7 linked regions of the Ovis aries genome follow. The protein of the gene in region 1 purifies or fractionates together with the protein of each later gene. This does not show direct contact. Links are inferred from orthologs where the notes say so. Each region holds a gene or a part of one and is shown in the gene's direction. Other genes may lie near its edges.

Evidence for each region.
Region 2: the proteins of DCAF7 (region 1) and ZNF703 purify together in Homo sapiens (co-immunoprecipitation; 5 studies listed by BioGRID and IntAct, counting the BioPlex papers as one, with this or other methods). This does not show direct contact. The link is inferred for Ovis aries from reciprocal best matches to the Homo sapiens genes DCAF7 and ZNF703.
Region 3: the proteins of DCAF7 (region 1) and FAM53C purify together in Homo sapiens (affinity purification with mass spectrometry; 3 studies listed by BioGRID and IntAct, counting the BioPlex papers as one, with this or other methods). This does not show direct contact. The link is inferred for Ovis aries from reciprocal best matches to the Homo sapiens genes DCAF7 and FAM53C.
Region 4: the proteins of DCAF7 (region 1) and DIAPH1 purify together in Homo sapiens (affinity purification with mass spectrometry; 5 studies listed by BioGRID and IntAct, counting the BioPlex papers as one, with this or other methods). This does not show direct contact. The link is inferred for Ovis aries from reciprocal best matches to the Homo sapiens genes DCAF7 and DIAPH1.
Region 5: the proteins of DCAF7 (region 1) and PLK1 purify together in Homo sapiens (affinity purification with mass spectrometry; 3 studies listed by BioGRID and IntAct, with this or other methods). This does not show direct contact. The link is inferred for Ovis aries from reciprocal best matches to the Homo sapiens genes DCAF7 and PLK1.
Region 6: the proteins of DCAF7 (region 1) and TROAP purify together in Homo sapiens (affinity purification with mass spectrometry; 3 studies listed by BioGRID and IntAct, counting the BioPlex papers as one, with this or other methods). This does not show direct contact. The link is inferred for Ovis aries from reciprocal best matches to the Homo sapiens genes DCAF7 and TROAP.
Region 7: the proteins of DCAF7 (region 1) and MAP3K1 purify together in Homo sapiens (affinity purification with mass spectrometry; 3 studies listed by BioGRID and IntAct, with this or other methods). This does not show direct contact. The link is inferred for Ovis aries from reciprocal best matches to the Homo sapiens genes DCAF7 and MAP3K1.

Annotation. Positions count from the first base shown.
Region 1 is NC_056064.1:47,618,331-47,622,262, forward strand, and holds part of DCAF7 (DDB1- and CUL4-associated factor 7), read left to right. Parts: intron 1-2,938; coding exon 2,939-3,148; intron 3,149-3,932. UniProt on the Homo sapiens protein: Involved in craniofacial development. Acts upstream of the EDN1 pathway and is required for formation of the upper jaw equivalent, the palatoquadrate. The activity required for EDN1 pathway function differs between the first and second arches.
Region 2 is NC_056079.1:32,067,864-32,072,239, forward strand, and holds the start of ZNF703 (zinc finger protein 703), read left to right. Parts: upstream 1-1,264; 5' UTR 1,265-1,448; coding exon 1,449-1,682; intron 1,683-2,690; coding exon 2,691-4,220; 3' UTR 4,221-4,376. UniProt on the Homo sapiens protein: Transcriptional corepressor which does not bind directly to DNA and may regulate transcription through recruitment of histone deacetylases to gene promoters. Regulates cell adhesion, migration and proliferation.
Region 3 is NC_056058.1:47,406,519-47,411,250, forward strand, and holds the start of FAM53C (protein FAM53C), read left to right. Parts: upstream 1-1,712; 5' UTR 1,713-1,754; intron 1,755-4,630; 5' UTR 4,631-4,732. Other genes in the region: small ribosomal subunit protein eS25, read left to right, coding at 443-820.
Region 4 is NC_056058.1:50,322,627-50,326,558, reverse strand, and holds part of DIAPH1 (protein diaphanous homolog 1), read left to right. Parts: intron 1-622; coding exon 623-802; intron 803-1,571; coding exon 1,572-2,091; intron 2,092-2,128; coding exon 2,129-2,397; intron 2,398-3,261; coding exon 3,262-3,376; intron 3,377-3,877; coding exon 3,878-3,886; intron 3,887-3,932. UniProt on the Homo sapiens protein: Actin nucleation and elongation factor required for the assembly of F-actin structures, such as actin cables and stress fibers. Binds to the barbed end of the actin filament and slows down actin polymerization and depolymerization.
Region 5 is NC_056077.1:21,884,498-21,888,429, forward strand, and holds part of PLK1 (serine/threonine-protein kinase PLK1), read left to right. Parts: intron 1-117; coding exon 118-262; intron 263-1,214; coding exon 1,215-1,308; intron 1,309-2,559; coding exon 2,560-2,779; intron 2,780-3,932. UniProt on the Homo sapiens protein: Serine/threonine-protein kinase that performs several important functions throughout M phase of the cell cycle, including the regulation of centrosome maturation and spindle assembly, the removal of cohesins from chromosome arms, the inactivation of anaphase-promoting complex/cyclosome (APC/C) inhibitors, and the regulation of mitotic exit and cytokinesis.
Region 6 is NC_056056.1:136,909,037-136,911,935, reverse strand, and holds part of TROAP (tastin), read left to right. Parts: intron 1-798; coding exon 799-920; intron 921-2,048; coding exon 2,049-2,165; intron 2,166-2,271; coding exon 2,272-2,355; intron 2,356-2,458; coding exon 2,459-2,518; intron 2,519-2,778; coding exon 2,779-2,899. UniProt on the Homo sapiens protein: Could be involved with bystin and trophinin in a cell adhesion molecule complex that mediates an initial attachment of the blastocyst to uterine epithelial cells at the time of the embryo implantation.
Region 7 is NC_056069.1:22,595,248-22,599,843, reverse strand, and holds the start of MAP3K1 (mitogen-activated protein kinase kinase kinase 1), read left to right. Parts: upstream 1-1,413; 5' UTR 1,414-1,438; coding exon 1,439-1,917; intron 1,918-2,182; exon of another isoform or gene 2,183-2,371; intron 2,372-2,589; exon of another isoform or gene 2,590-2,806; coding exon of another isoform or gene 2,807-2,985; intron 2,986-4,596. UniProt on the Homo sapiens protein: Component of a protein kinase signal transduction cascade. Activates the ERK and JNK kinase pathways by phosphorylation of MAP2K1 and MAP2K4. May phosphorylate the MAPK8/JNK1 kinase.

The DNA of each region.
Region 1 (3,932 bases):
GGACCTGATGTGATTAAAAAATAATCTTATAATTTTAGGGTAACACTTACCTTGAAGTATGTTTACTTTTTTGGGAGCAGGAAGGCAAGAAGAGGGGGAATTTCCTGGCAGACAAAACTAATTGATTAACTCTTCTGTAAACTTGTTTTATGAATTTCTAGTATGTTCACTTAATACTTATATGTGTAATACTATTTGGAATTGAATATGGTTAACTTTGATGGTGATGTTTCTCCTATGTGTATTGGAAGAGCTGAAGGGAGTGAGCTCTAATTGTATTTACAGAGCCTTCTTCTGAGTGGTTTTGTAAAATGGTCATAAATCTTTTAACTCCCAGAGCCACCACGTGCTGGTCCTCCACCAGGGAAATCACAGGATGTCTCCTGTGGGTAGTGTTTCCTTTTCCCTCCAACTCCTGTGCAGCGAGGAGTGTTAATGTCTGTACAGATTAAAAGGATGCGTAGACATTAGGTGAGAGCTGTGAGGTTGTCCACAGAAGTTGGTGACTAGATTATCATTCTTAGTGAGAGGTCATCCTTCAGCTTTCTGTGCTCCCAGCGCCGAGATCTGTTAAAGTCTGCTTGACTGGGTCACCATGAAACAAGGGGCAGAGAAAGAGAGCTTGACCTGCCGGGAACGCCAGGAAGGACGTCCTGGCACCCAGTGGAGCAAGTTGCTACATTTTGGTTCTGTGACACTTAGCATGTGTTCTCTGTCAGGGTCCAACCCGGAAAACTAGAGCTACTCCGCATGTTTAACCTGAGGGGATTTAATGAGGAGATGGCTCACACAGCTGCTGCTGCTGCTGCTGCTGCTAAGTCGCGTCAGTCGTGTCCGACTATGTGCGACCCCAGAGACGGCAGCCCACCAGGCTCCCCCGTCCCTGGGATTCTCCAGGCAAGAACACTGGAGTGGGTTGCCATTTCCTTCTCCAGTGCATGAAAGTGAAAAGTGAAAGTGAAGTCGCTCAGTCGTGTCCGACTCTTAGCAAACCCATGGACTGCAGCCCACCAGTCTCCTCCATCCATGGGATTTTCCAGGCAAGAGTACTGGAATGGGGTGCCAGATGATGGTAAAGATGCCAGATGATGGTAAAGATGATGGTAAAGCTGAGGAGCCACACTGGCCGCAGTGAGGGCGTCTGGGCAAGAAGAACAGCGAGTTTAACAGCCAGCAGGCCCTGAACCAACACCCTGGCCTCAAAGAAATGAACCTCAGGATGGTTGTCCGGAGAGAAACATGACACCTCCCAGCACCTTTGATTTTTCTCTGTCCGCATCTCTGTTGAAGTACAGACTTGCTCGGAGGTTCTCATTGCTGCTGGCGGGTTGGTGCAGAGGAGGGTAGCGTGTGTCTGGGAGTTGTCGCCCGCTCTTGGCTTCTGATGAAATATGTGGGTGGAACACAGAGGAAGGAGCAGTCAGAGTGGCTCTACACGCTTGGCTGTACTGCCCGTGGGCACCTTATTGCTTAGTGATGCTGCCGTGGTGTCCCTGTGCCTGGGAGTCAGAGCGCCAGCTGTGGGTGCACGTGTGGATAAACAGTGCCGGCCAGTGCCTAGGTCTGTCGGGTCTTGGAATGGCCAGCCTAGTTTCCTGCTGAACCACTCCTCGTTCCCACCGTAGAGAGGGAAGTGCAATTTCTTCATTGTCAGCCAGAGGAAGGGCAATTTATGATGTTGATTTGAAACAGATGCTTGTTAGTCAGTGTCCCCCGGAAGGTAGAACCTCAGGAAGGCTGGAGTCACAGTGTGAGGGACAGGTTCCACTCATGTCTCCCCAGAAGTCAGCTCTTACAGTCCTTGACCCCAGGAGATGGGTTTTGTTTGGCATTTTTGTTTTTTGTTGTTCAACATTTTGTTTTTCTTTTTTTCTCTCTCCGCTTGTCTGGCTCTGGCTTTGTCGGTCTCTCTTTGTCCCTTTCTTTCTCTGAAGCCCTCTGTTGCTCTCTGCCTGTTTTCTCATAGACGTTAGTGCAATACAAAGTTTGCAGCAGGTAATAAATGCATGCGAAGAGTTGACTCATTGCAAAAGACTCTGATGCTGGGAGGGATTGGGGGCAGGAGGAGAAGGGGATGACAGAGGATGAGATGGCTGGATGGCATCACTGACTCGATGGACGCGAGTCTGAGTGAACTCCAGGAGTTGGTGATGGACAGGGAGGCCTGGTGTGCTGCGATTCATGGGGTCGCAAAGAATCGGACACGACTGAGTGACTGAACTGAACTGAATAAATGCAGAAGAAAATAATTCAAAACCTAAGTTGTTATACTTATGAACACAAACCAACTAGGAGAAACAGCATTTCCTAGGAGAGCAATATTAACCCTCTTTGTAAATAAAGGAATACCCGAGCCTCCCATGATTCAGAGGGGCTCTTACCTCTTTCTTGCACATGGGTCTCAGGTCCAGGTTTCACAGCAGAACTGTGGTCAGAGGAGGGCCACTTCTGCCTCTCCAGTCGATGACCTCAGCCTTCCTGTGGTCATGGACTGCTCTGATTGTACATAGATGAAAGCCACAAGGGCCAGGAAATAAATGTCTCAAGTCTCGTAACAGAGCGGCAGGAGACAGCCACTGGTTCTGGCTTCATTGAGCCTGTCCAAGCCGACCGGATAGAATACTTGCTGAGTTATCTGTGCTCTGTTGGTCAGCAGGGTGTGTGCTGTGTTACCGCGGGAGGTGGAGGAAGAATACTTGGAAGGCAGCAAGTGAGAGGAAGCCTACCAGCTTCCACTGTAGGATGGTCGTCACTGTTTGGGAAATCGTTGGTGTTAGCACCCTCAGTTTCCAGTCCTCGCAGGCGTGGTGTGGCTTTATTTACCTCCTTCTAAGTCATGAGCAGGGGTTTAGATGAACCAGGGGACAGTAGGTTTCCCTGTGATATGAAAAGGAGGTAACTGACCTGAATCTGACAGTTGCTTCTTACTCACCAACAGGTCTACGACATTGCATTTAGCCGGGCAGGGGGTGGCAGGGACATGTTCGCCTCTGTGGGTGCTGATGGCTCGGTGCGGATGTTTGACCTCCGTCACCTAGAACACAGCACCATCATTTACGAAGACCCACAGCATCACCCACTGCTGCGCCTCTGCTGGAACAAGCAGGACCCCAACTACTTGGCCACTATGGCTATGGATGGAATGGAGGTGAGAACCCCACTTCGGGCTAACCTAGGCCCTGCCACTCCGCTCCAGCCCGGCTTAGTGGATCCAGGAGAGCGGTTCTCAGCTGATGGCAGTTTTCTCCCCAGAGGATTTTTGGATCCACCTGGAGCCGTTTTGGATTGTCCCAACTTCGGAGGGGGTGGGGGGTGCAAGAAGGGGTGGTGCTCCTAGTGTCTGGGAGTTGGAGGCCTGTGGTGCCCAGGACCACTCCCCGTAACACACAGCACAGCGTTGCCCCACCCCAATGTCAGGAGTGCCGAAACTGAGAAAACCTGACCTAGAGTAAGGGCCGTGTGTCGAGAACTTGTAATACATAGAGAGCTGGACTCAGAGCCAAGAAAAGCAGTATCTAAAAAGTCAACCAAATCATTCATGCTTCTGGTGCCGAGTAGACAAACAGGCAGTTTTCCCTCTGTCGTCTGGGCAGAGTCTTCCAGCCTTAGTGAATAGACGGGGAAATGGCCGCCGTGTAGCCTGTTGTTTCACAGAAGCAGTCAGTTGTGGGTGCACATGACGCTGTGATGAACTGTGTTTTGAGGAAGCCAGTACCTTTCAGATTCTGCTTTGGGGTTCAGGGGAGAGGGCTCTCATCTGCCCAGCTGAGCAGGCACAGAATTCTGAGTACACCTGATGGCTCATGGTGGATTATTCACATTCGTGTTACCTGCCTGTCCGCCTCCCCTGCAGCCTAGAAGCCCCATGTGGCTTGTGATACAGACTATAAATGGCCCGTGCCTTTGTTTCCTTTTTCCTCAATCTTACAGTT
Region 2 (4,376 bases), on another chromosome or scaffold:
ACTGGCCGCCGAGAGAACCGGGAAAGGGTTCTCCCCAAAGGCCTGCGTACAAAGGGCCAACTTCACCCTCTGATCAGCGGACGGGGAACTCTAACGCCAGGACAGGGACTATGTGAAATCTCTGTCGGGTGCGAAGCTGGCAATGCATACTTTATCTGAAAGGCACGGGAGGAAGGAGACAGGGGGATACTGTTATTTTCATTTAAAAGTTTTTAACTCCGAAATTCCCTTGGGAAAACCTAGGGCATCTTCCCCCTCGAGAAGAAAAGGGGGGCGGGGCGTGGAGGGGCCGAATCTCTGGCGCTTACAACGACGTGCAGTGTTTACAGAGACCCGCCTCTTCTAGGATGCAAACCCCTCCACGTCCCTACCCACCCGCTACCCCTGAAACAGCAGTCAGGCGCGGTGCCATGAGAGAATTGTGTGCCCTTAAGCAGCACGCCGTAAGAAACCCGGAACACACCCAAGCATCGAACCTATAAATCGGTGCGCAGGCACCGGGCGCCAGGCGCGTCCCGGCGGCGTGCACCACAAGCGGTGACCGCGCCTTATCGAGACCATCTCACCCCGGAAGGGGAGTCCTCAAACTTGCAGGTTGCGGACAGGGCTGGCTCAAAGTTGCTGGAGCGGTTTTCGCCGCGTCGCAAGAACCGTGGCTGCCTCCGAGGTTCGGGCGCTTCCTAGTGAGCACACCCGGGAGGAAGCCAATTGGGGGGGAAAGAGCTGAAAACCCGAGCCGAGCTGGGGTTCTGGAGGAGCGGCCCGCCCCCAGGCGGCCTCCGGGAGCGGCTGGGACTTGGCAGTCCCGGAGCCGGCCGCCAGGGGCTCCTACCCCATCCCCCAGCCCACCCAATTCACCCCACCCCAGAGACACATGGACTGCGGGTGACCTGTCCCCCTTCCCCGACCAGCACCACCCCACCCCACCCCAGCCGTGCGAAGGGAGAGAGCGCAGAGCGACAGGAAAGCCCGCGGAGGGCAGGGCGCAGAGCCCAGGGTCCCCGGGGAAGCCCTGATCTCGCCGGGACGCCGGGGCCCGGGCCGGCCCGGTTGGGGGCAGGGGAGGAGGCCGGCGGTGGGGCCAGGCCGCGGCGCGGCGGCTAGCGGGCGCGGCCCCTTTAAGGTTCTCCCCGCCCACCGGCTGCGCCGGGCGCTCTCCCCGCCCCGGGGTCCCGGCGAGATCGGCGATTGGGCGGGCGCGGCGATCCCTTTGAAGTGTGGCTGCCGATCGCGGCTATTTGACGTGCGGCTCGCGGAAGGCGAAGGTTTTTGTGTTGCTCGCCGGGGCCAGCGGCGGCGGCGGCGGCGGCGGAGGAGGAGGAGGGGTGGAGACGCGGCGACCGCTGCAGCGCACTCGGAGCTGCGGAGCGAGCCCACCCGCCCCGGGAGCTCGCCTCCCCGGTGCGCCCCCGCCCTCCCCGCCCCCCCAGCGGCGCTGCCTCCTCCAAATGAGCGATTCGCCCGCTGGATCTAACCCAAGGACACCCGAGAGCAGCGGCAGCGGCAGCGGCGGCGGCGGGAAGAGGCCGGCGGCGGTGTCCCTCTTGCCCCCGGCGGACCCCTTGCGCCAGGCGAACCGGCTCCCCATCCGGGTCCTGAAGATGCTGAGCGCTCACACCGGCCACCTCCTGCACCCGGAGTACCTGCAGCCGCTGTCCTCCACGCCCGTGAGCCCCATCGAGGTCAGTCCCCTGGTCGCTGCCCGCCGAGCGCCCGCCCCATTCCGCCCACCACTGCCCGGCTCCCTGTGCCCCGCGGCTCGGTGCGACGCTCGGGTCCGGCCCCAGTGGCCGACGGAGTGAGAGGAGGGACGGAGATACAGAGGGATCGGAGCCCACTGGGTTCTCTCCTCCGGGCTTCTCCCCGGGGGAGAAGGTTCCCCTTCCACGCTCGCCCTTCGGAGCTTCGCGTTTCCTCTCTCGGATTGGATTTGCTCTTGGAGTGTCCACTGGGCCCTTTACTTTTCCTCGGCACCCAGTCCCCAGGCCATAGAGTCTGTCTCCTGGGCTTTTTTCGGCCCCCCCCCCCCCCCACCCCCACCTCTCCACCCAGGTTTGTTCTCTTTGAAGCCCGATCGCCCCCCTCCCTCCCCGTCCCACTCCGCTTCTGCCCCATCCGGTTGGAGCGCACGACGCCCGGGCACTCCCGACCCCGGCTCCTTCTTTCTCCCGCTCCCCTGGGGGCCCTCCCCGGGAGGGAAGGGGGCTCCGAAGAGAGCGCCTGCGGCCGCCCAGGCTCAAGCTCCAGCTTCTCCCCTGCTCCCACCCCGCGGCGACACCGCCAGAAACCCGTCCCAAGCGAAGTTCCCCAAACTGAAGGCATAAGTTTTTAACCCAGGCCTAGAGAGGAGGAGGAGATGAGAGAGCAGGGGGCGAGTCACGGCCCCTCCCCCAGCCCCGACTCCAGAGAAGTCACCTTCCCCCGGGATGGTCTTCGGTGGACGCCTTCCACGGCCCGTTCCCCAGGGCCTGCGGCGCCCTCCGGGACCCGGGGCAGCGAAGGATCCCACCACTACCAACGCGCAGTGTAAGCGCAGTTGCGCTCAGCCCCCGCGCTCGCAGCAGGTCTCCCCGAGGCCCTCCTTTCCCATCTCACCCACCCTGCCCCCCAGGTAAACCCCCTCCCCCCGGCCGCTCCGTGGGTCCCTGGTCTCATCCCCTTCTCCCTCCCCTTGCCGCTGTCTCCCACAGCTGGACGCCAAGAAGAGTCCTTTGGCGTTGCTGGCCCAGACTTGCTCGCAGATCGGCAAGCCGGACCCGCCGCCCTCGTCCAAGCTCAACTCGGTAGCGGCGGCCAACGGGCTGGGAGCGGAGAAGGACCCCGGCCGCTCGGCCTCGGGCGCCGCCTCGGCCTCTGCGGCACTCAAGCAGCTGGGGGACTCCCCGGCCGAAGACAAGTCCAGCTTCAAGCCCTATTCCAAGGGTTCCGGGGGCGGCGACTCCCGCAAGGACAGCGGCTCCTCCTCTGTGTCCTCCAGCTCCTCCAGCTCCTCCTCCTTGTCCCCGGGAGACAAGGCGGGCTTCAGGGTGCCCAGCGCCGCCTGCACGCCCTTCCCCCCGCATGGAGCGCCGGTCTCCGCGCCGTCGTCCTCGTCCTCCCCTGGCGGTTCCCGGGGCGGCTCCCCGCACCACTCTGACTGCAAGACCGGGGCCAGCGGGGAGCTGGACAAGAAAGACCAGGAGTCCAAGCCCAGCCCGGAGCCGGCGGCCGTGAGCCGTGGCAGCAGCGGGGACCCCGGCCCGCACGGCGGTGGCGGCGGCGGCGAGCCCGGGGCCTCCGGGCGCAAGTCGGAGCCGCCCTCCGCGCTGGTGGGGGCCGGCCACGTGGCACCGGTGTCGCCCTACAAGCCGGGCCACTCGGTGTTCCCCCTGCCTCCCTCCAGCATCGGCTACCACGGCTCCATCGTGGGTGCCTACGCCGGCTACCCGTCTCAGTTCGTGCCTGGCCTGGATCCCAGCAAGTCTGGCCTCGTGGGAGGCCAGCTGTCGGGGGGCCTGGGCTTGCCGCCGGGCAAGCCCCCCAGCTCCAGCCCGCTCACCGGGGCCTCCCCGCCGTCCTTCCTGCAGGGATTATGCCGAGACCCGTACTGCCTGGGAGGTTACCACGGCGCCTCGCACCTCGGCGGCTCGGGCTGCTCCACGTGCAGCGCGCACGACCCGGCCGGGCCCGGCCTGAAGGCGGGGGGCTACCCGCTAGTGTACCCGGGGCACCCGTTGCAGCCGGCCGCGCTCTCGTCCAGCGCCGCCCAGGCGGCTCTCCCCGGCCACCCGCTCTACACCTACGGCTTCATGCTGCAGAACGAACCGCTGCCGCACAGCTGCAACTGGGTGGCGGCCAGTGGGCCGTGCGACAAGCGCTTCGCCACCTCGGAGGAGCTGCTCAGCCACCTGCGGACTCACACGGCCCTGCCCGGCGCCGAGAAACTTCTGGCCGCCTACCCGGGGGCCTCGGGCCTGGGCAGCGCCGCCGCAGCCGCTGCGGCCGCTGCCTCCTGCCACCTGCACCTGCCCCCGCCCGCCGCCCCCGGCAGCCCGGGGTCGCTGTCCTTGAGGAGTCCACACACTTTGGGGCTAAGCCGGTACCACCCGTACGGCAAGAGCCACTTGTCCACAGCCGGGGGCCTGGCCGTGCCGTCGCTGCCCACAGCTGGACCCTACTACTCACCGTACGCGCTGTACGGACAGAGACTGGCCTCTGCCTCGGCACTCGGGTACCAGTAACCACAGCCCTGCCTCCTCCCCGCGCCCTCCTGCCCCACCCGCCGCCGCTGCAGCCCCCCGCCGCCGCCTGCCCCCGCCGCCGGAACCCCCCCTCCCACCGCCCAGATCCCTCCCCTCCCCACCGGACTGTGTATTTATTTACTATAATGTTAGCTT
Region 3 (4,732 bases), on another chromosome or scaffold:
TACTTGCAGTACTTCTACTTTCCAATTGATTAAAAATCTAAAACTCTGTCCCACAAAAAGATCATAATACGAAGGCATTGTTTAAAACCTCTCCTTTTCCCATGTTTTACCCTCTGTCTAAACCTTCTTTGATAGCTGATACTCAAATTTACTTAAGAGCCAGAAACCACCTAGCTGTTTCACAGCCTCTTCACCTATCAACTGCTACATTCAGTCTCTTCAAAAAGGACTTAAACTTTGGCTGAGTAGGAGGTACTGGTAGCGATGGAGACTTAATAAAAGGTGATTTTCTCTTCCTGAAGAGGAAATATAGCACTATCAATATCTTTTCCCCCAGCGACCTGTTTCCTCCCTCCCAGAAAGGTTTAAAGAAAGTGGTCCAGCTTTTTGTCCGACATCTTAGCGAGGCGGCAGTGGTTGCAGCTGCTCTCCGGGCTTCGCTATGCCGCCCAAGGACGACAAGAAGAAGAAAGATGCCGGAAAGTCGGCCAAGAAAGACAAAGATCCAGTGAACAAATCTGGGGGCAAGGCCAAAAAGAAGAAGTGGTCCAAAGGCAAAGTTCGGGACAAGCTCAATAACCTAGTCTTGTTTGACAAAGCAACATATGACAAACTCTGTAAAGAAGTTCCCAACTATAAACTTATAACTCCAGCTGTGGTCTCTGAGAGACTGAAGATTCGTGGTTCCCTGGCCAGAGCAGCCCTTCAGGAACTCCTTAGTAAAGGACTTATTAAACTGGTTTCAAAGCACAGAGCTCAAGTGATTTACACCAGAAACACCAAGGGTGGAGATGCCCCAGCTGCTGGTGAAGATGCATGAACAGGTCCCACCAGCTGTACATTTTGAAAAATAAAACTTTATTAAATCAAAAAAAAAAAAAAAGAAAGTGGTCCAGCTGTAACCACCGTACTTTCCCTTCTCCCCCCTCCCCCACGCAAGCAACTGAACCGCCTATGATGTCATAATCACAATCCCATTACCTCATCCTGCTGGGGGTGGGGGCATAAAGAGAGGAGAAGGAGTGAACAGCCCTGGGCCCTCGTCGGATTTACAGTATTTTGAGTGACAGCTAACTACACAAACAAGTGGGAACGGCCCGCAACCGTTACAGGTCCTGGGTTTATAAGGTTCGAGCCGATCCGGCAGCTGGAAGAGGGGCTCCTGGGACTCAGAGCAGGCCCTAATCGGAGCTTGGACTACGCCTCCCAGAAGCCTTCACGACGCGGACGGGTCCTCTGCTGGGGGAAGGGGAATTCCTTCAGAGCGGAGGCCTTAGAGAGTGGGGGCAGGAGAACAGGTGAGAGGAACCCTGGCTAATTCCATTACGCTGCCGGAATCGAGTTGGGGGCTGTACATGGGCTGATGTAGTAACAGAGGGCGGGAGCAATGGCTTTGTTTACCTTCGACCAACACGGCCTCCCCCGCGAGTTTCGAGATTTGCGTTCGACTGGCCCAGTCCACCTTCCGCAATATTCTGTAGGGGGTGACTTCCTAGGGAGGAAACCACCCTCATCGCTAAATTAAAAAGCCCGGCCTCTTTCCGACGGCGCTATCCAAGAGAGACTTTGCGAGAAAAACGACGCGGGGCTCAAGCCTCCGCGGACGGTTCAGGGGGGGTTCTCCCAACCCGAGCGATCGCTCCACTCTCCTCAGGGACCCGTTGGTTCACGCCGGCGCCTTTTAAGGGCACCGTGGGGCGAACCGAGCGCTCAGAGCTGCTCCGGCCGCGGCCCTGGGAACTGGAGGAGCCGCGGTAGGTGGCGGAGGGCAGGTGGCGCTGGGGCCTCGGGGCGGGCACCTAGACCGTCCCTCCCTCCTTCCCTCTTTCCCCTCCCCCAGCCCGTCCGCCCGCGAGGCAGGGCCTCGCTGGCCGCCTCCGCGGGGAGAGCACGGGACCCGGTGGGGGAGGGGGTGGCGGAGTGTTAAGTCCCAGACCCTCTCGTCCCCTGTGTCCTGAGTTCGCTTCCCCGCGGCCAGATGATGGGAGCTGATTGGGAACAGGCGAGCGACAGCCCCCCTGAGCGTGCCGTGGCGCCCTCCCCCCCCACCCCAAGGGGCTAGCGGACGCCCCATGCCCCACCCCGCGGGGACGGGCAGAGCAACCGATGGAGAGGTTGAAGATTGGAGAGGGGGGCCTAGCCTTTTGCTTCTTCATTGGGGTGGGGGGAGGGGTGCTCCCACTTGTCACTCCTATGCCCACCGGTGCCATATGGAGAAAAAGCACTCAGGTCCCCACATACCTGTTCGTGTGCCTCTCTGCCTCATGTTTTTCTTCAGTCTCCCCCAGAGTGTGGGACTGGGACCTAGGGGGAAGGTCTCCAGGGGCTTTTGACTCTCTTCTTCCTTGGCCTGACTTGATCCTAGGTTATCCAGGTTTCAGCACAACCTCAGCATCCCTGAAACCCTTATGTCAGGGGTTACTGCCACCCAGTGGGGTGGGGGTCCAACCTTTATTTGAGGGACAGGTGATGGTGCAGAGAAAGCCTGGATTGAGAGTTGGGCCTGGTGGGGTTTGAGGGAGGGCCTAGCGGCCTGCTGCTCTGTGTTGGGCTTAGCCCCATGCCAGTTGTTAAGCTGAGAAGTTTTAACTTGTTTAGTGAACGTTCAGGGCTGTCTGTGCCCCTCAGATACACAAAATGGAAGGGGAAGGAAGACGGCAAGAGAGGGCTTCTTACTCTTTTTTCTCTGCCTGCCTGAGAAAGAGGAGGCCCCTCGCGGAGCTGGTTTGCCTTCTTTTGTGTCCTGGTTTGATTCCTTATGGCTTCCGTTCTGTTCCCCCTCTCAGCCTGGCCTGTTTTAGGAAACTCAGACTGAAAGTATCAGTTGCGTGGTGGTAGTTGCATTGTTCTAATTACCGCCGTGTGTGGCCACATCCCAACAATTAAAATGCAGAAAAACACAAAATCACTCTCTTGATCCCAGAGAGGGCTGGAAGTTTGCTATTTGGCCAAATGCCTCATGAAAACCTTGAAAGAGTTTGCTTCATTCCGTGCTCCTCATGGCTGGTCAGCCTGAGGCCTGGGGTCTCTGGGGGTAAAAGCCTGCCTTAGGTTTCCTCTCTGGTTGGTCTTTGAGGGCAGAGTTAAGAAACCAAGAGCAGAAGTGATACAAGCTTTAGCTTCTACAAGAATGGGGGAAGCAGCCGAAGGGAGCGCTCAAGAGCGCTCAGGAAACTGGGACTTCAGGGTGGTAATAATAATTATGCATGAAAACATTATTTGACTATAGTGGTGGTTGACTTCTGCCTCTTTTTTGCCTAAACTCCAAGTACATCGAAGTGTGTTTCTTTGCTTTTCCTTGTGGTCTGCCTCCCTCTGAGGTGGAAATCTAGTAGAGAGGATTTCCCCCCCTCCACCTTTTTTTTTGGCCAGGGTTGAAAGTTATCTGCCCTCAAGGTCAAGCCTTTTGGGCTTTTCTTGGCATGTGAGTGAGGGAGGTTGATACTCAGCCAAATAAATCAACCCAATTGCCTTCTTCATCTTAATATTATCACTTGTAGCACCCTGAGGCTTTGTAGAGCAACAAATAGGAAGGGTGAGAAATGGCAGTCTGTGTGGACTTCTGATTTGTTCAGGCCAAGTGGTATACTTCTTATGTTTTGATATTTTGCATTACATTATCCCTGTGACAGATTAAGATTATTCTGCCCGTTTTTCATATGGGTAAACTGAGGGAAAGAAAAGTTTGATGATTTGCCAAGACCATCACAGCAAATCGGATCCAGATTTGATGTCTTGATAGTTTGTTCTCTCTGCTAGCAAATGCTACTTACTCTGTCTGATTGCTGTCTGCCTGCTGGTCATTTCTGGGAATAGGCAGAACAGTATGGAAATGTTAGATTAACTTCCCCTCCTCCGTTGATTGAGGTCCCTCAGGCAATTGTGTGGGCTTGAAGCCTGTTTTCTGATAGAATTAGTTTGCTTCTACTGTAATTGACCGTGAGAAAGAGTCTTGATTAATTGTATTCATGGTCTTTGAGTCAAATCAGGCTAAAAACTTAGTTGAATGAAGTTAGAGTTGTTGTTTTTAACACCTATAGAGTTGAAATGTGAATGGAATTACCCTGGTAGCATTTTCTTGTCTTCATATAAGAGAATATGTACAGTATCTGTTGGAGAACAATAATGTAATATCCGCTGTTGAGGGTGAAGGAGAATATAATACCTTGTTTACTCTGCTTTGAAGTAGAAAGTCATTCCTACAGCCACTGCACTGTTGCTATTTCTGTAGTTTAGGAAAAGGCTACCTCTCCTTGCTTTTGACTGGAAGATAAAATATTGGACTAATCAAGAAGGATATAACAATGTGGGCATTTCTCTCATTTGAGCTGTTTTCTAAGTGGTGCTGGTATTTTGGGTAGGCAGAGCAGAGCATGAACCAGGTTAGGAGTGGCAAATAGGTTTCAACTTGCTTGCTAACTCCATTTTATTATACTGGTTATCCGGAGTGCCAAGTTGAGACTGTTTCCGAGGCTATGTTTAGGCTTAGCCGGAAAGAGCTGTGATCAGTTAATGATGTGTGCCAGAGGCCTGACATAGGGATGCTGGGGTATGTGTGCCATGCATTTTCCATCTCTGGAGTAGGTACATCTCTAATATCACTTGGGGCTGATCCATCTGTAATTGGCAGACTCAGCAGGCATGACTGGAAAGGGAAGTCCCAATGGTGCTAGAATGGTGCTGCAGTGGCAGAAGACAGCTCATGAGTGAGGTCTGGAAGAACAACAGGGAA
Region 4 (3,932 bases), on another chromosome or scaffold:
CCAACATGTGACATAGTTACCCATGATATTTTGGAAGCGTTCAGCACACAGTAGCAGTTCCTTGGGGAAACCTTTCTGGTATAGGTTACTCAGTGGAGAAAGTGTGATCGTGGTATAGATGTGATCATGAAGAGCTGGTCAGTTGTGAGTTTGCACAGTTCATGGGCCCCCGAGCAGGAGGAAGACAGGTGGCACTCTCATATAATGTTGTCAGCACTTGGGTTTGCTTGATGTCTCAGGCCTCTTAGCCATAGAATAATAGGAACTGGAATATGTCTGAATTCTTTTTCTCTTTGATTAAGGGCTCCTATTGTTGATAACTCTGATCCTTGAGACTGTTGGCATTGTGCACCTTAGCTGCCCTGGTTAAATGTCCTTAAAATCTTGGTGGCGGTGGCTTTTTTTTAAAACCACTCCCAATTATAGATAGTCTGTGGAAATAATCCCTGGCTTCCCCCTCCTTTAACCTTGATTTTAAGGTCAAAATCATGGTGGCCTGTTTTCCTAGGCATTCCTTGGGTCAGTGAGCTCAACAGATAAAGGATTAACACAAAACAGTAAATTATGGGGAATAACACTGGGCTTTTGCTGAGAGGGAGAACCTGATTTCTTTCTCTTCTAGCTGGACTCTGAGTTAACAGCTCGGCATGAGCTCCAGGTGGAAATGAAAAAGATGGAAAGTGACTTTGAGCAGAAGCTCCAGGATATTCAGGGAGAAAAGGATTCATTGGATTCTGAAAAGCAAAAAATTGCCACAGAGAAGCAGGACCTGGAAGCAGAAGTGTCTCAGCTCACAGGAGAGGTAATGTCCCAACAGGGAAGGCAGAGTGACCTGTGACTGCCATCAGCAGCTTCAGGGTGAGCCTGTGTGGGAGCAGGACTCTGTCATCTCACAACTTGGAAGAGTTCAGTTACTAATAGGTAATCTAGTTAGGTGATGCATATTCTTTAAATCATGAACTGTTTTGGGAATAAGTAATACATAAGATAGACAATTTGGAGAATACATAACACAAAGAATAAAATGAGTCACAGAACTACTCAGAGATAAAGATAATATTTCTAGTAATTTAGAAATATTTTAGTACCTTTAGGAGTAAATACTAAATAAACTGTTCTGTTTACTAATTTTTTCTTACTTTAGTCATCTCTGGACAGATCTATGCCTACATACTCTCTCTGCAGTTATAGATATTTATATGATCTGTGATACCTGATAACTTGATCACTTTATGTGGTTATAGTACTACATTTATAACACATGTTAATTATATAACTAGAATATTTAGTTTGCTTGATCTTTGCAATTTCTCATCAAAGGGAGAATTTAACATAAACTTTGAAGTTGCCTTCTTAATGCAAAGCATACTGAACTAAGAACATGAATACCTGAATTCTAGTTTTGTCTCTGTTGCTAAGTAGCTCTGTGACTTTAGGTGGAGCCTATCAACTCACTGTTTTCACTCCCTTCATGTGTAAAATGAGAAGTTTGGATCAAGTAATTTCTTAGGTTCTTTCCAGTGGTCCCTGAAGTGGAATGAGACATATTCCTCTTGGTGGTATTTCCACAGGTCGCCAAGCTGTCCAAGGAACTGGAAGATGCCAAGAAAGAAGTGGCTTCTCTCTCTGCTGCAGTTACTGCTGTAGCCCCTCCTAGCAGTGCTACTGTTACCCCTGCCCCTTCTTTACCTGGCGACTCTGGGCCCGTTATACCCCCCTTATCAGTCCCCACACCCCCTCTTCCTGAGGCCAGTGTCAGTCTTCCTCCACCACCTCCTGCTCCTCCTCTACCTGGGTGTGCTTTCATCTCCCCACCTGGGGGTCCTAGCATCCCCCCTCCTCCCCCTTTGCCTGGAGGTGGTGGCATCCTCCCACCTCCTCCTGCCCCTTTGCCTGGAGGTCCTGGCATCCCCCCACCTCCTCCCCTTCCTGGAGGTCCTGGCATCCCCCCACCCCCTCCTCCCCTGCCTGGAGGTCCTGGCCTCCCCCCACCCCCTCCTCCCCTGCCTGGAGGTCCTGGCCTCCCCCCACCCCCTCCTCCCCTGCCTGGAGGTCCTGGCCTCCCCCCACCCCCTCCTCCCCTGCCTGGAGGTCCTGGCATCCCCCCCCCCTCCTCCCCTGCCTGGAGGTCCTGGCATCCCCCCACCCCCTCCTCCCCTGCCTGGAGGTCCTGGTCTTCCCCCACCCCCTCCTCCCTTGCCTGGAGGACCAGGAATGCTACCTCCCCCTCCCCCTCTTCCTGGTGGAATCCCTCCACCCCCTCCATTTCCTGGAGGCCCTGGCATTCCTCCACCTCTCCCTTTTGGAGTTCCTGCAGCCCCAGTTCTGCCATTTGGATTAACCCCAAAGAAACTTTACAAGCCAGAGGTGCAGCTCCGGAGGCCAAACTGGTCCAAGGTGAGAATTTCTGTCCGTCTCTTCATTAGTAGATTAAGAAAAAAAACCCTTCAGCTTCCTACCTTGTGTTTTGTGCATGGTTGGACTTCCCTTTCTTATGGTTCACGTCTGTGTGTCTTCAAGTTCCACTCATGCATATGTTTATTCAGCAGATAATAGACATACCCTACATGCCAGATATCACTTGGGAGAGTTCTTGGAGCCTGTACTCTGCTAGAAAACCTAAACTTATCCTACAGTTAATGTTTTTTGCCCTTTTTACTGAGGATATGAGTGCCATGATACTGCATAGTTTGATAATAGTCATTTCACTGATCTGCAAGGTACTGATAATTTTACTCATCCAAAAGTCATAGATTTATGGATACAGCCCCCTACCACCTCTGCCCATCCAGTAAATGAGTTACACAGGATATGATTGCACAGGTATGGTATGTATTTGAGACCCTTACGATTCTATATCAGTCCTTTGCTTTTGGAAACCAAGTGAAAATAAAGGAACTTGTTCATAAAATGAACGAATTTGGTACATTTAGCCACATTGATGGGGAAAGTGTAATGTAAAGCAAGGGAAGATGTAAAATAAAGCCTTATTGCTTCTAAAAGTAGAGGATTTGGGGTTAGAAGGAGGATAAGCAGCATATCTGAGTCTAGTTTCTGAATAAACGCCACTAAGCACACAAGCTGGAATCATCATCTGGTCCACCACAAAGAGCATAGCTGTTCTCTGTGCCCCAGGTTAGTCTCACTCTAGTAAGATGTTGATAGCACAGCCAGCTGCTGCTTTTGCATCTCAGTCAGTTTTCTAGGATGGGAAGTACAGAGCTCGGCTTAGTAACTCTTAACACCTGCCTGTATCTACAGTTTGTCGCTGAGGACCTTTCCCAGGACTGCTTCTGGACAAAGGTGAAGGAGGACCGATTTGAGAACAGTGAACTTTTCGCCAAACTTACCAGTACCTTTTCTGCCCAGACCAAGAGTGAGTCCTTTCCTCTTTCTGGCAAAGGGCCAGACTAGGACTTAGAAGGTTCTTTAAGGTGGTCTCCCATTTCTTTCCCTTCCCTGGTTGAGGACTGAAGAGAGCTGGTGGGGGAGGTTTCTTATTCAGAAGAAAGTAAGCTTGGTTTTGTATTCTGGGGATGCTGGAGTTGGCAAAGAGAACTGTTGCACGTAGGTGTTTTGTCCCCAGTTTTTGTACATATAGGTATTTTATGTCAGTGGAGCATGTGGGGGTGTGAGATTAACATCAGAGAGCTCAGGCTGGGCCCATCTTGAAAGGATTCTGGCACTGCCTTTAAGGCGCCACCATCAAACCTATATACGTAGTTGATCAGAGTTGGGCAGGGTCCTTAGTATTAGTAGGTCAGGTGGCTGAGCAACTGTCTTTGTATAATAACAAAGAACCATACGTGATCCCTTTTTTTTTCCATTTCTTTCCAATATCTGATGCTTTCTCCTTCCTGGCCATTTGCTCCTGCAGCTTCAAAAGGTAAGAGTACTGAAGAGCCATGTAGTTGGGTCTCTTGAATATCAGA
Region 5 (3,932 bases), on another chromosome or scaffold:
AGGCTTTGAGAGATCACTTGACCCTGGTTCTTGATGGTTACCAGCTGAACCAGCTGTCTGCATTGACAGACGACAGAAGCTGGCATCTGAGCCTCCCTCTTCCTCCCTCTGTCCCAGGGGATTTTGGACTGGCAACCAAAGTGGAGTATGACGGGGAACGGAAGAAGACCCTGTGCGGGACTCCTAATTACATAGCTCCTGAGGTGCTGAGCAAGAAAGGGCACAGTTTCGAGGTGGACGTATGGTCCATTGGGTGCATCATGTAAGTTGGGAGTTGTCTCAGGACCCACCAGTCTCAGCAAGGGGCTTTCTGGACATCTCACTTGGCAGGCTTTATCCTGCAGACCTTTCCGCCTTTGGAAAGACTGTTCCAGAGGACAGATGGTCTCTGAAGGAACCCTCATTGCTGAATTGGTATATCCTGTAGGATTCCTGCAGCCTGGGCTGTGGGTTCAGGGAATGAGGGAGGGAATGTCTCCACAAACTTGCTCTAATCCCTTGCTATTCAAAGTACGGCAGACCAGCTGCAGCATCACGTAGGAACTTGTTACGCAGAATCTCAAGACCCAGACTAACTGGATCACAATCTGTATTAAGACCCTTGAGTGATTTCTATGCACAATAAAGTATTAGAACCACTGATCTAAAAAGCAGCATTGGGTGGGAAGAATTAGGCCAGGAGTGGTGCTGGCAGGAGGAGGTCCTGTGGTCTGTCTGGGTCAAGGCCATCAGAGGTGGGTGGTGGGCAGAGAGTTGGGCCTGTTCAGGTGTTACCCCTTTTGTTGTTTCCCTGGATACTGGAGAGTTAGAAATGGCTTTCCTACTTCTTTGCCTTGGAATTTCCCACATGAAAACTTGCAGCCTAAAGTACAGAACTATTAACTGTGGGGCTGCCTCAAGGAAAGTGACCCCTGCTTGGACCTGTTCCATGTTAGCTGGCAGCCTCTGGCCCCTAGATTACCGCAGGCTATAGCTAAAAAGTCACTGGTCCATTAGAACCCAGTTTCATCACCTGTATTCTACTGAGGGTACCTCCCTGCCAGTGTCGTGGCTCCTGGGGCTGCTTAGTGAACTTGTGAATTGTCCTCTGGGGCCCCAGAGTCACAGTGAATGCCCAAAAGATGTCTGACTTCCTTTCTGGCCCTGAGAGGATTCCTCCCTGCATCTGGGTTTTGGTTGGGAGCCTTGAGCCAAATCCCTCCTTGTGCTTACAGGTATACCTTGTTAGTGGGCAAGCCACCTTTTGAGACCTCTTGCCTAAAAGAGACCTACCTCCGGATCAAGAACAATGAATACAGTATTCCCAAGGTGACTAAAACCACTTTAAGTTTACATTTGTTTTATTTAATTCCCTCCCCCACCAAGTGATTTACAGAGCCCAGCCATTTCCGGGGGAAAGAGATGGGTCAGTGCCACCCCATGGGTAAGTGTAACAGCTTTAGAGGGTCCTGTCTGAAATTGCATACAGAGGCTGATGTATGTGTACAGAAACAGTTTTTCTTGGGATGAGAGTTTGCAGGCTTTCATCCGTTGGGGAGATAACCCAAAAGACGTGAAAAACAGAGAGAAAGAGCCAGAGTAGGGGCAGACGGAGAAGTGCTGCTTAGCCTGGCTGTGGACTGTCTTGGTTCAGATGGGCTCTGCCACTTTTTAGCCAGATCACAATGGACAAATGGCCTGAGTCTTCTGAGCTGCAGTTTCCCATCTGTAAAGTGGAGTCCCTGCCCCAGAGCATCTTGCACACAGCGAGCGCTCACAGAATCTCGAACCACCGTGAAGGCGAAGTGGCGTGCTTTTGCAGCCCCCAGCAAGAGTGCATTGAGAGGGATAGTTGGCAGCAGTCTGGCACACAGCTGCTTCCACAGTTTGGCATCTTTGTCTTATGTGAAGCCAAGAGCCCTGTCTCCATCAGGATGGATGGGCTGAATCCGTTACAGAGGGTCAATTATTGGGCCGAGTAGAGCGGTTCCCAGTGTGGGGGTTGCACCTGACTGCCTCGGTGTGGGTGCTGGCTCCACCACTCACTCGGGATGTATCTTAGGCACTTGACTTCTCTGTGCCTATTTCCTCATCTGCTAAAGAGGGATGGTACTAGAGAGCTTCAGTCCTTGGGTGTTTCTCTGAGGGTTAAGTGAGTTCATCTACACGAAGTGCTTACAATATTTTGCTGGTAGATAGTAAGTACAAAGTTGATGCTAGGCTTTACTGTGCATTTGACCTACCCTGGGTTGGGTCTCCTTGCCAGGGCTCCAAGCTTGGTGCTGTGTCCCCACTTTATAGATGAAGATACAAAGGCCCAGAAAGTTGGGTTGGTTGGCACAGCTGGTGCTGAGGGACAGAACTGGGACTTACACCAGGCCTTTATGACTTCCAAGCCTTTGTTTTCAAGTGCTGTTCTAGTGGTGAGCAACTTGTCAACTTAGTAAAGCTGCCAGTGGAAACTTGGGACGTTTATAGCCACTGAACATGGTGTATTTGGGGCCGGGTAGTGGGTGGTGGTGCAGCAGCTGGGTTGGTCCTGTGTCATATCCTGCTTATGACTCCCCACCTTCCCTCCAGCACATCAACCCCGTGGCCTCCTCTCTCATCAAGAAGATGCTTCAGCCAGATCCCAGTGCCCGTCCAACCATTCACGAGCTGCTCAATGACGAGTTTTTCACTTCCGGCTATATCCCTGCCCGCCTCCCCATCACCTGCCTCACCATTCCACCGAGGTTTTCAATTGCTCCCAGTAGCCTGGACCCCAGCAACCGGAAGCCTCTCACCATCCTCAATAAAGGTAAACCAGAGTGTGGGTAGACAAACAGCCTTGCCTGCCTCTGTGTGTGAATGGATGGTCCCCAAAGCTCAGGTGTGCAGTAGGATGGGCCCCAGTCTTTGAATCCATGGTCCCCATCCTTATGTGGCAAATGCCTTTCCCCATAGCCCTGTCAGGGAAGACAGACCTTACTGTGACTGAGTCAGACCTGTCATGTCCGGAGAGAAGAGAGTGGCTAAATGCCATGCCTGAATAATTCTTAATATATATTTTTTAAATCGTTGATATTGCCCTGCATGGTTCATTGGAAAAAATGTTGAGAAGCTTCAGATACACACATGGAGCACAATGTGCGTGGGACCCACATCACCGCCAGAGTCAACACTTGCTAAGATTTGTAGTGTTTGCTTCATAGCTCCTTGTTTGTTCCTTTGAAGTATTTTTGAAGTTAATTCCAGACATCTTGCCATTTTACCCCCAAGAACTTCCGTACGCATCTCTCTAAAAGGATAGACATTTTCTTACAAAACCACATCTCATTGCTTGGTTTGTCGTTGTTTCTAGGTCTCTTCAGAGAGCAGAATTAGAAAATACATAACTGGGGTGGGGATCTCTCATTATATGTGTGTGTATGTGTGTGTATTGTTTTTGTCCCAAACAACATGATAGTAAGTTGTACACATTCTGGCCTTTACTACTTAGTACTTCAGTGTATATTTCCTAAAAACAATTCTTTTACCTAACCACGACACAGGACCTAGTTATCAAGTTCAGGAAATTGAAATTGGTGCAAACTGGTCTTACAGCAGTCTTTTTCTCCACTGTGAAATTACTACTTTAATTCTCTTTTGGTAATTTGTAAGGGTCTAATTTAATATTATAGGATCTTTAATTTTATGCTTGTATTTCTTTTTCTCTTACAATGAAAACCTTGTTTGCTTACACGGTATACATGAATTTTCAACATATATAAAGTATGTTATGAAACTATGTTTATTTCCATGCAATTCTTTTTGTCCTTAGACTACATTACACACACACACACACACACACACAGAAAAACCCCAAGAAAAGCCACTTGAAATACTTTATTTCTCTGTGTGGATATAGCACAACTTTATGAGTTCATTTCAGTTTTGACACTGCTGTTTTAAGGATTACCTTTTTCTTTTTG
Region 6 (2,899 bases), on another chromosome or scaffold:
AGAGCCATTACCACACCCCTAGCCCACTCAGGGTATTCAGATTAATGAGTGACTACTAATCACTGCAGATGGTGACTGCAGCCATGAAATTAAAAGACGCTTACTCCTTGGAAGAAAAGTTTTGACCAACCTAGATAGTATATTCAAAAGCAGAGACATTACTTTTGCCAACTAAGGTCCGTCTAGTCAAGGCTATGGTTTTTCCTGTGGTCATGTATGGATGTGAGAGTTGGACTGTGAAGAAGGCTGAGCACTGAAGAATTGATGCTTTTGAACTGTGGTGTCGGAGAAGACTCTTGAGGGTCCCTTGGACTGCAAGGAGATCCAACCAGTCCATTCTGAAGGAGATCAGCCCTGGGATTTCTTTGGAAGGAATGATGCTAAAGTTGAAACTCCAGTACTTTGGCCACCTCATGCGAAGTCTTGACTCATTGGAAAGACTCTGATGCTGGGAGGGACTGGGGGCAGGAGGAGAAGGGGACGACAGAGGATGAGATGGCTGGATGGCATCACGGACTCGATGGATGTGAGTCTGAGTGATCTCCGGGAGATGGTGATGGACAGGGAGGCCTGGCGTGCTGCGATTCATGAGGTCGCAAAGAGTCGGACACGACTGAGCGACTGAACTGAACTGAACTGAGATAGTGCTGGGTTCAAAGGAGTACTGGATGGGTCCCCAGCCTTGATGGTGCAGTAGTGGCTGTCAAACTGGCGTACGCTTTCTGGAGGTTGCAACACCATGTGCCAGACTTTGATGTGTGTTTCAGACACTACAGCAAATTTCCTGTCTCCTCCTAGCTTCTTCTCTCCCTGAAGGGGAACATGAAGTTGTCACTCAGTCAGATGAAGGAGGAGGCGGCCCCCTCGGCCTGGCCCAGCGGGTACCACTAAAAGAAACCCGAGATAAAACCCACACCAGGGTGAGATGGGACCCTCCTGGGATGGGGGAAGGGGCAGAGGATGTACATGAGGGATTCCCCAGCAGCACTGAGGATTGTGGGTACAGCCAAACAGTCCCTGCTTGGATCTCAGCATGTTCATTGGGTCCTTGTTTGTCCTAGATGGACCCAAGCCCTCTCCAGAGTGGCACTGGCCCCTGGAGGCCTCCAGAGGTCACAGTCTGATACATATTTAGGTCACCATCAGGTCAGTGCTGAGAGTGAGACAGATCTGACAGCTCATTCATTTCCTCCACACGCAAGGGTTTATTGACCAGCTACTGTGTGCCAAGCACTGTTCTAGATTCTGGATATACAATAGGAAATAAGTTCACATTCTAGAAGGGGAGACAGAAAATAAATAATCATATAAAATATATAGTATGTCAGATGGTTATAAATTATCTGTTAAAAAAAAAAAAGTAAGGTACTAGATTGTTAGTTGCTCAGTCATGTCCAACTGTTTGCAATTCCATGGACTACAACCTGCCAGGCTCCTCTGTCCATTGATTTTCCAGGCAAGAATACTAGAGTAGGTAGCCATGCCCTCTTCCAGGGGATCTTCCCAACCCAGGGATCGAACCTGGGTCTCCTGCATTGCAGGCAGATTTTTTACTGTCTCAGCTACGAGGGAAGCCCCCAAGATACTATAAGGGAAGGAGAACTGGAGGGAGTGGGTGGTATTGCAGTTTCAAGGGTCAAGCGAGTATCCCTGAGGTGTGGCTACGTGAAGAGCAGAAAGAGTTGAGGGAGTGAGCCCCGCAGATATCTGAGGGAAGAACGTTCCAGGACATGAGAACTTCAGATGTACACAGGGGGTCTACCTGGTATGCTTAAGGATCAGCAAAAAAGCAAGGCTAAAGCAGAATAAGAAGGAGAGGAAGTGAGAGGTTAGAGCAATGACAGGATTGGGTTGGGTAAGGGTTTGTAAACCAGCATAAGACCTTGGCTATGACTTGGAATGAGTGGAAAGCCATGGGGAGGGGGATGACCAAGGGAGGGACATGGTTTGATTAGCTCTTAAAGAATCACACTGGCTGCTGAAGTGAGAACAAGACAGGGCAGTGCCAAGTGGGAGGGATCACTCTTCCACCTGGTTCTTCTCCACAGGACGGCTGTGACTCCTGCCTGATGCCCTCCCCTGGCCAAGCAGTGCCACTTGCCATCACCCGGCCATCACCCTTTGGACGGGCTCAGCGTGTACCATCCCCTGGCCCCTCAGCTCCAGTTTGTATCTGTAGCTACCGGGGTCTGGGCAAGGGCAGAACAGTCTGGCTGGGATCCCTGCTGGGTCTCGATCTGTCCCTGCTCAGCCACCCCCGTCTCTCCCCAGATCTCATATTCAGTGTTGCGGCGTCTCGCCACCCGCCCCAAAACCCAGTTCACACCGCTCCCATCAGCCTCCAGAGTTCAGCAGGTAAGAGAGGGCAGGGGAGGTCACAGGCCTAGGCCAGGACTGGGGGAGGAAGAGGGTGATGGATGGGTGCAGGGAGAGTCATGGCATCTCACTTCTGACCCAGGCCCGAGGGTTGAGTGGCCTCTCCCCTCAACCTTGCCCTGAAGAGCCCGCCCTGCCCTGGGTAAGTATCTGAACTTCGCCATCCTGAGATACCTGATTCTGTCCTGTTGATGTCAGGCCCAGCATTTTTGAGGCAGGTGGGCTCTTAAGAAAAAGCTGCCTAACCCTCCAACTCTCCCTGCTTCTCTGTTGCCTCTTCTAATCCAAGTCTGGGGACACTCAGTTAAGGACCTGATTCCTTCCTCGTGAGGGTGGGGCTCACACTAGTCTTCTTAGCCCAGCCTGGCTTCCTCATGTGGCCCCTCTCCTCCCATGTGGCAGGAGCAGATTGCAGTCCGGTTATTTGACCAGGAGAGTGGTATAAGGTTGCAGGAGGGGCCTGGGAAGCCACCCGTGTCGACTCCTTATGGACCCCACCCCAGCAGAACCCCCAACCTCCAGG
Region 7 (4,596 bases), on another chromosome or scaffold:
TCAAAGGAATTATTTTGTAGACAGTTTAGACTTTTGTCTAAATGTATGAATACCGACAAGTTAGCGCTCTCCTTTCTCTTCCTGAGCAGCTCTCTCTCTCCACGACACTCCCCCACCCTACCCCCGCCTTAATTCCTGTTTCACAAAGTAAATCTAGGGACTCGGTTCCGGGCTTGAGGGAGATTTCTCAGCACTGACACACCGGCTGGAGGAAAAGAAGGGAGGGGAGAAGTAAACGCGACAGGGAAGCCAGAAGAAAGGTCTAAAATCATTAACATGTAAATGGTGCTTTTTCCATTCCAAAGCACCTTATCGCCAGACGCCCTCAGGGACTAGCAGGGTTCGTGACGCCGCGCTGGGTAGCTCGGGCTCCGCGGGGGTGGGGGCGGAGGGAACCCGACAGGCAGCCCGACCCTGCGGGGAAGAGGGACGTGCAGCCAGAGGCATAGGGCTCGGGGAGGGTCAGAACCTGGCGGAGGATGACAGCAGCCAGCACTTCCTGGTTCCTTCCCCAAACATGCTGTGGTCCTGCGTTATCTGCCTTTCCCAAAGACAGCGGAGGAAAAAAAATTTATAACGATTCACCTCGACCACCCACCCCACCCCCCCGACCCCGCTGCCCGGTCCTTTCGGTCTCCCTCTAGCTGGGGGCGGAACAGTGGGTGAAGAGGGTGTCCCAAACCTGTGATTTCAGGTTTTGAACACGATATTCCAGAAACTTCTGTTTTATTTGTAGCACGATCTGGGGGTGGGCAGAAGATGAGGAAAGCTTTTTTTATATATAAACTTGGGTTCTGGGTCCGCGGCATCACGTCAGCTGAACATTGGGTTTCTCTTGCTTTGCAGCAGGCGACCGTCCCGGGCGCCACCTGCGCGTCCCGCGCGGAGTGGAGGCGGGGGCGAGGGTAGGTAGGTCCGCGCCCGGGTTCCCCGACGCCCACTGCAACGGGCACGCGAATGACAGACTGCAGGCCCTCTGGCTTGCGCCCCCTTCAACGCACCGTCCATCAAAGCTCGAATTGCAATTCCCTTAGGGCGAGCGCCGGCCGAGCCGGGCCGAGATTGCGGCGGAGAGGAAGCGGAGCTCTGCCACCGAGGCTCCTCCTCTCGCCGGTGCAGCCCGGGACTACCTGGCGGCGCGGCGGGTGAGGCGCGCGAACCCCAGCGCGCCCCCGCAGCGGCCACCTCGGCTGCCCGCGTGCGGGGCTGAGCTAAGAGTCCGCTCCCCACCGAAACCTGCGGCCCGCCGTCCTCCCCCCACTGAACCCAGCGCGCCCGCCCGTCCGTCAGTCCCGGCCGGGCGCCCGAAGGGCCGCGCTCACGCAGTTGGCGTAGCCAGCCCTACGCTAGAGGCGCAGAGCCCGCCCCCCGCCCCCTGCACTCTCCCCGCCCCCTCCCTCCCTCGCAGGGGCCGAGCGAATGTAGCCCGCGAGAGAAAATGGCGGCGGCGGCGGGGAATCGCGCCTCGTCCTCGGGATTCCCGGGCGCCGGGGCGGCGAGCCCCGAAGCGGGCGGCGGCAGAGGGGCCCTCAAGGCGAGCAGCGCGCCCGCGGCAGCCGCGGGGCTGCTGCGGGAGGCGGGCAGTGGGGGCCGTGAGCGGGCGGACTGGAGGCGGCGGCAGCTGCGCAAAGTGCGGAGTGTGGAGCTGGACCAGCTGCCCGAGCAGCCGCTTTTCCTCGCCGCCTCGCCGCCGTCCTCCTCCACTTCCCCGTCGCCGGAGCCCCCGGACGCGGCGGCGGGCGGGAGCGGTTTCCATCCTGTGGCGGTGCCGCCGCCCCACGGAGCCGCGAGCCGCGGTGGCGCCCACCCTGCCGAGCCGGCGGCCGCACCGGACAGCGGCGCCCAGAGCCCCGCGGGGGCCGAGCCGGGGGAGAAGCGGACGCCCGCCGCCGAGCCGACTGCGGCGGCCCCGGCCGGGTAAGCAGCGCGGCCGGGGAGCGGCGGGGACTTGGGGGGCGGGCGGGCTATTGCAATGAATGAACCCCGGCATCGCGCAGGACGTCCCGGGGCTCCGCAAAGCAAGGCTGCGCGCGGCTATCCGGGACCCGAGCTCTCGGGCACCCTCTTTGACCCTTCCAGCTTCGGGCGGCGCCCCGGACCTGGCCTGGGGGACCGGACGGGGGCCCGGGGCGGGGACGTGCTGGAGAGTTTGTTATTGTTTGCAGACATGTGACAGGCGTGCGAGCCGCGCTGCTTGGACTAGTTGAGATAAGGTGTGGGGGGCCGGGCTGGCTTTGTGGGGCTCCTGGAATCGGGGCTCTCCGAGGAGCCCCGGAACGGGACCCTGGCGCTGCCCTCCGGGTCAGGCTGGAAGAGGCGAGCAGCAGTGCGGCGGCGGCGACCCCGGACCTGAGTCCCGGGGCGCGCGGGGGTGAGGCCTGAGCCTGCGGGCGGGCAGTGTAGGTGGGCGAAGCAGGTGGGCAGCCCTGCCCGAGACCGGGTTGGAGGGCCGGAGGGCGGCGGCGCAGAAAGCGGTGGGGTCCCCGGGGCGGTGACAGGCAGAGCTTCCAGGCAGGTACCGGAGGCCGGGCCGGAACGGAGGCGGCGCGCCCCGAGCGCGGCCGCAGGGGGTTCCGGGTGGACGGCTCCGTAACGCCTGTCAAAGCGGTGCAGGGTGACGGGCTGCAAGCTCTCGGGGGCTTGCGGGGTATTAGGACGGAGAGTTTTCTAATCGCGTCCCCCAAGGGACTCCTAGTGTCCTGGGGAATACAGACCGCAGCACGGAGACTTGAGTGACTTCTGTTTGGAGTTTGAATTTGGCCTTTGAAGTTTGCATTTGGCGGAGTGGTGTAAGAGCCAGGACCGGATGTGTCAGCCATTCAGTTGCAAAGCGGTAGTGCCTACTCCCCGCAGCCTCTCCGGAGTGGTTGGGGACCGCGGCGCGGGTGCGGTGCTTCCTGCTCCCTGCAGCTGCGCGGGCCGCCTCGGGATTCCAGGGGACCCAGTGCGGTGTGCTCCGGGGCCCTGGGCTGCCTGCGCGTTACGGTATGTGCAAGGTAACTCAGGCCAGCTGTTCCTGGCCTGGCTCTTTTTTGGCAACTAGAAATTTGTGTTTAAGGAAATTATTTTAAATGTGACAGCCATAGTCCTTGTTTTTGTTTGCTTTAAAATCTAACTAGTGTATGCAGAGCACAGGTTTGAGGGGTATTTTGAGTTGCTGGAAATGTTGTGATAGTCACCCGTTTCCCTGTAGGGCTTCCTGACCTTTATTCTGAATGTTTTAGAGACTGCCTTGTAGTGGTTTCCCTTGTGAAACGAATTTGACAGTAGGAATCATTGGCTTTCGTTAATTATCTGGTGATTTGGCACTTTTGGGGGCAACTTGATTCTATGTTTAAAACCGCAGTTTGTTGATTGCTACTTAGAAGTTGGCCCCTCTCTTTCCCCACCTCTCGGGGGAGGGGACCCTAAAAATGTGGTCAGCAGTGTGCCATGTTGAGAGGAACAGGGACTTGTGACTGTGCTGGTTTTCTGTGTGCACTTGTACATGTAGCTTAGTCTTACAAGGGTTATGTTTCTCTCTCTACACTACTGCTTCTTTGCAAATTGCATTAGAACTTGACTGGAATGATTCGTTGTAGGCGATTGTTACTACAAGTGAGGTCCAGTTAAAGATATTAAACCCTGAATTTGAGAGGTGAATTTTGTCTTATTCCCATGATACCAAGTTTTTGGATGCAGTAAATAATTTAGCAAGCCTCAGCATTCTAGGCATCTTAACGAGCTATGAATATAATAGAAGAGGAACCACTGTAAAATTAATGTATAGATGTTTAGTGTTGTCTCCACACAAAATAAGAGGACGAAAGTGAAAGCAGATAGAATTCAGGGAGTGAGTAATCCATGTTTAATTTTTGCATTTTATAACCTAGTTTTCCCCCTCCCCTTTTCTGAAAGGGTGGATTATAATTGCACAGTATATGAAATAATAGACTAATCGGCAAAATCATTTTTTAAAATGAATTTCGCTGGCCAGAATGCTGTTTGTTCATCCCAAATGTTATACATAAACATTTCATTTATAGTAAAATATTTATTTTCTCTACTTTTGAAATAGTGAGTTTTTTCCATATTTCCTTGTTCATGGGGTTGAAATTCATTTGAGACCGTTGGTATAAGCACTTTGACTGTAAGGAGGAAAATTGCAATTGAACTTTAGTTTTTGGATAATAGTTACATTCATACTTTAGAAGGATCATCTAACATCAAGATTTTGAAATATTTTTATGTTTCAGTAGTACTGTACATCTTTAAGACCTGTCATATTTTTTTAAAGAGAATTCCTAAAGTTTTTAAATTTCATAATTCCTCCAGTTTTTGAACTTTGGGTGTAGAAATTGAAATTGTGGAAAATACAATTTTGTAGTGTAAGTAATATAAATAATATTGATATTAAAAATAGAAGATTTTAAGTCCACCCCTCTTTTTCAGGTTGGTAACTGAAATCAGTGAAAGTTTCTTGCCTGTAAGTGGCGCCCAAGGGTTTGGGATTTTTCCTTCTAATACAGAATTAGGGGCTTTTTCTTCCTATTTACTGTCTTTGAAGAGAAATTACAGTGTTACTCTCCATTGAACAGGCTATTGTGAGTTTGGTAG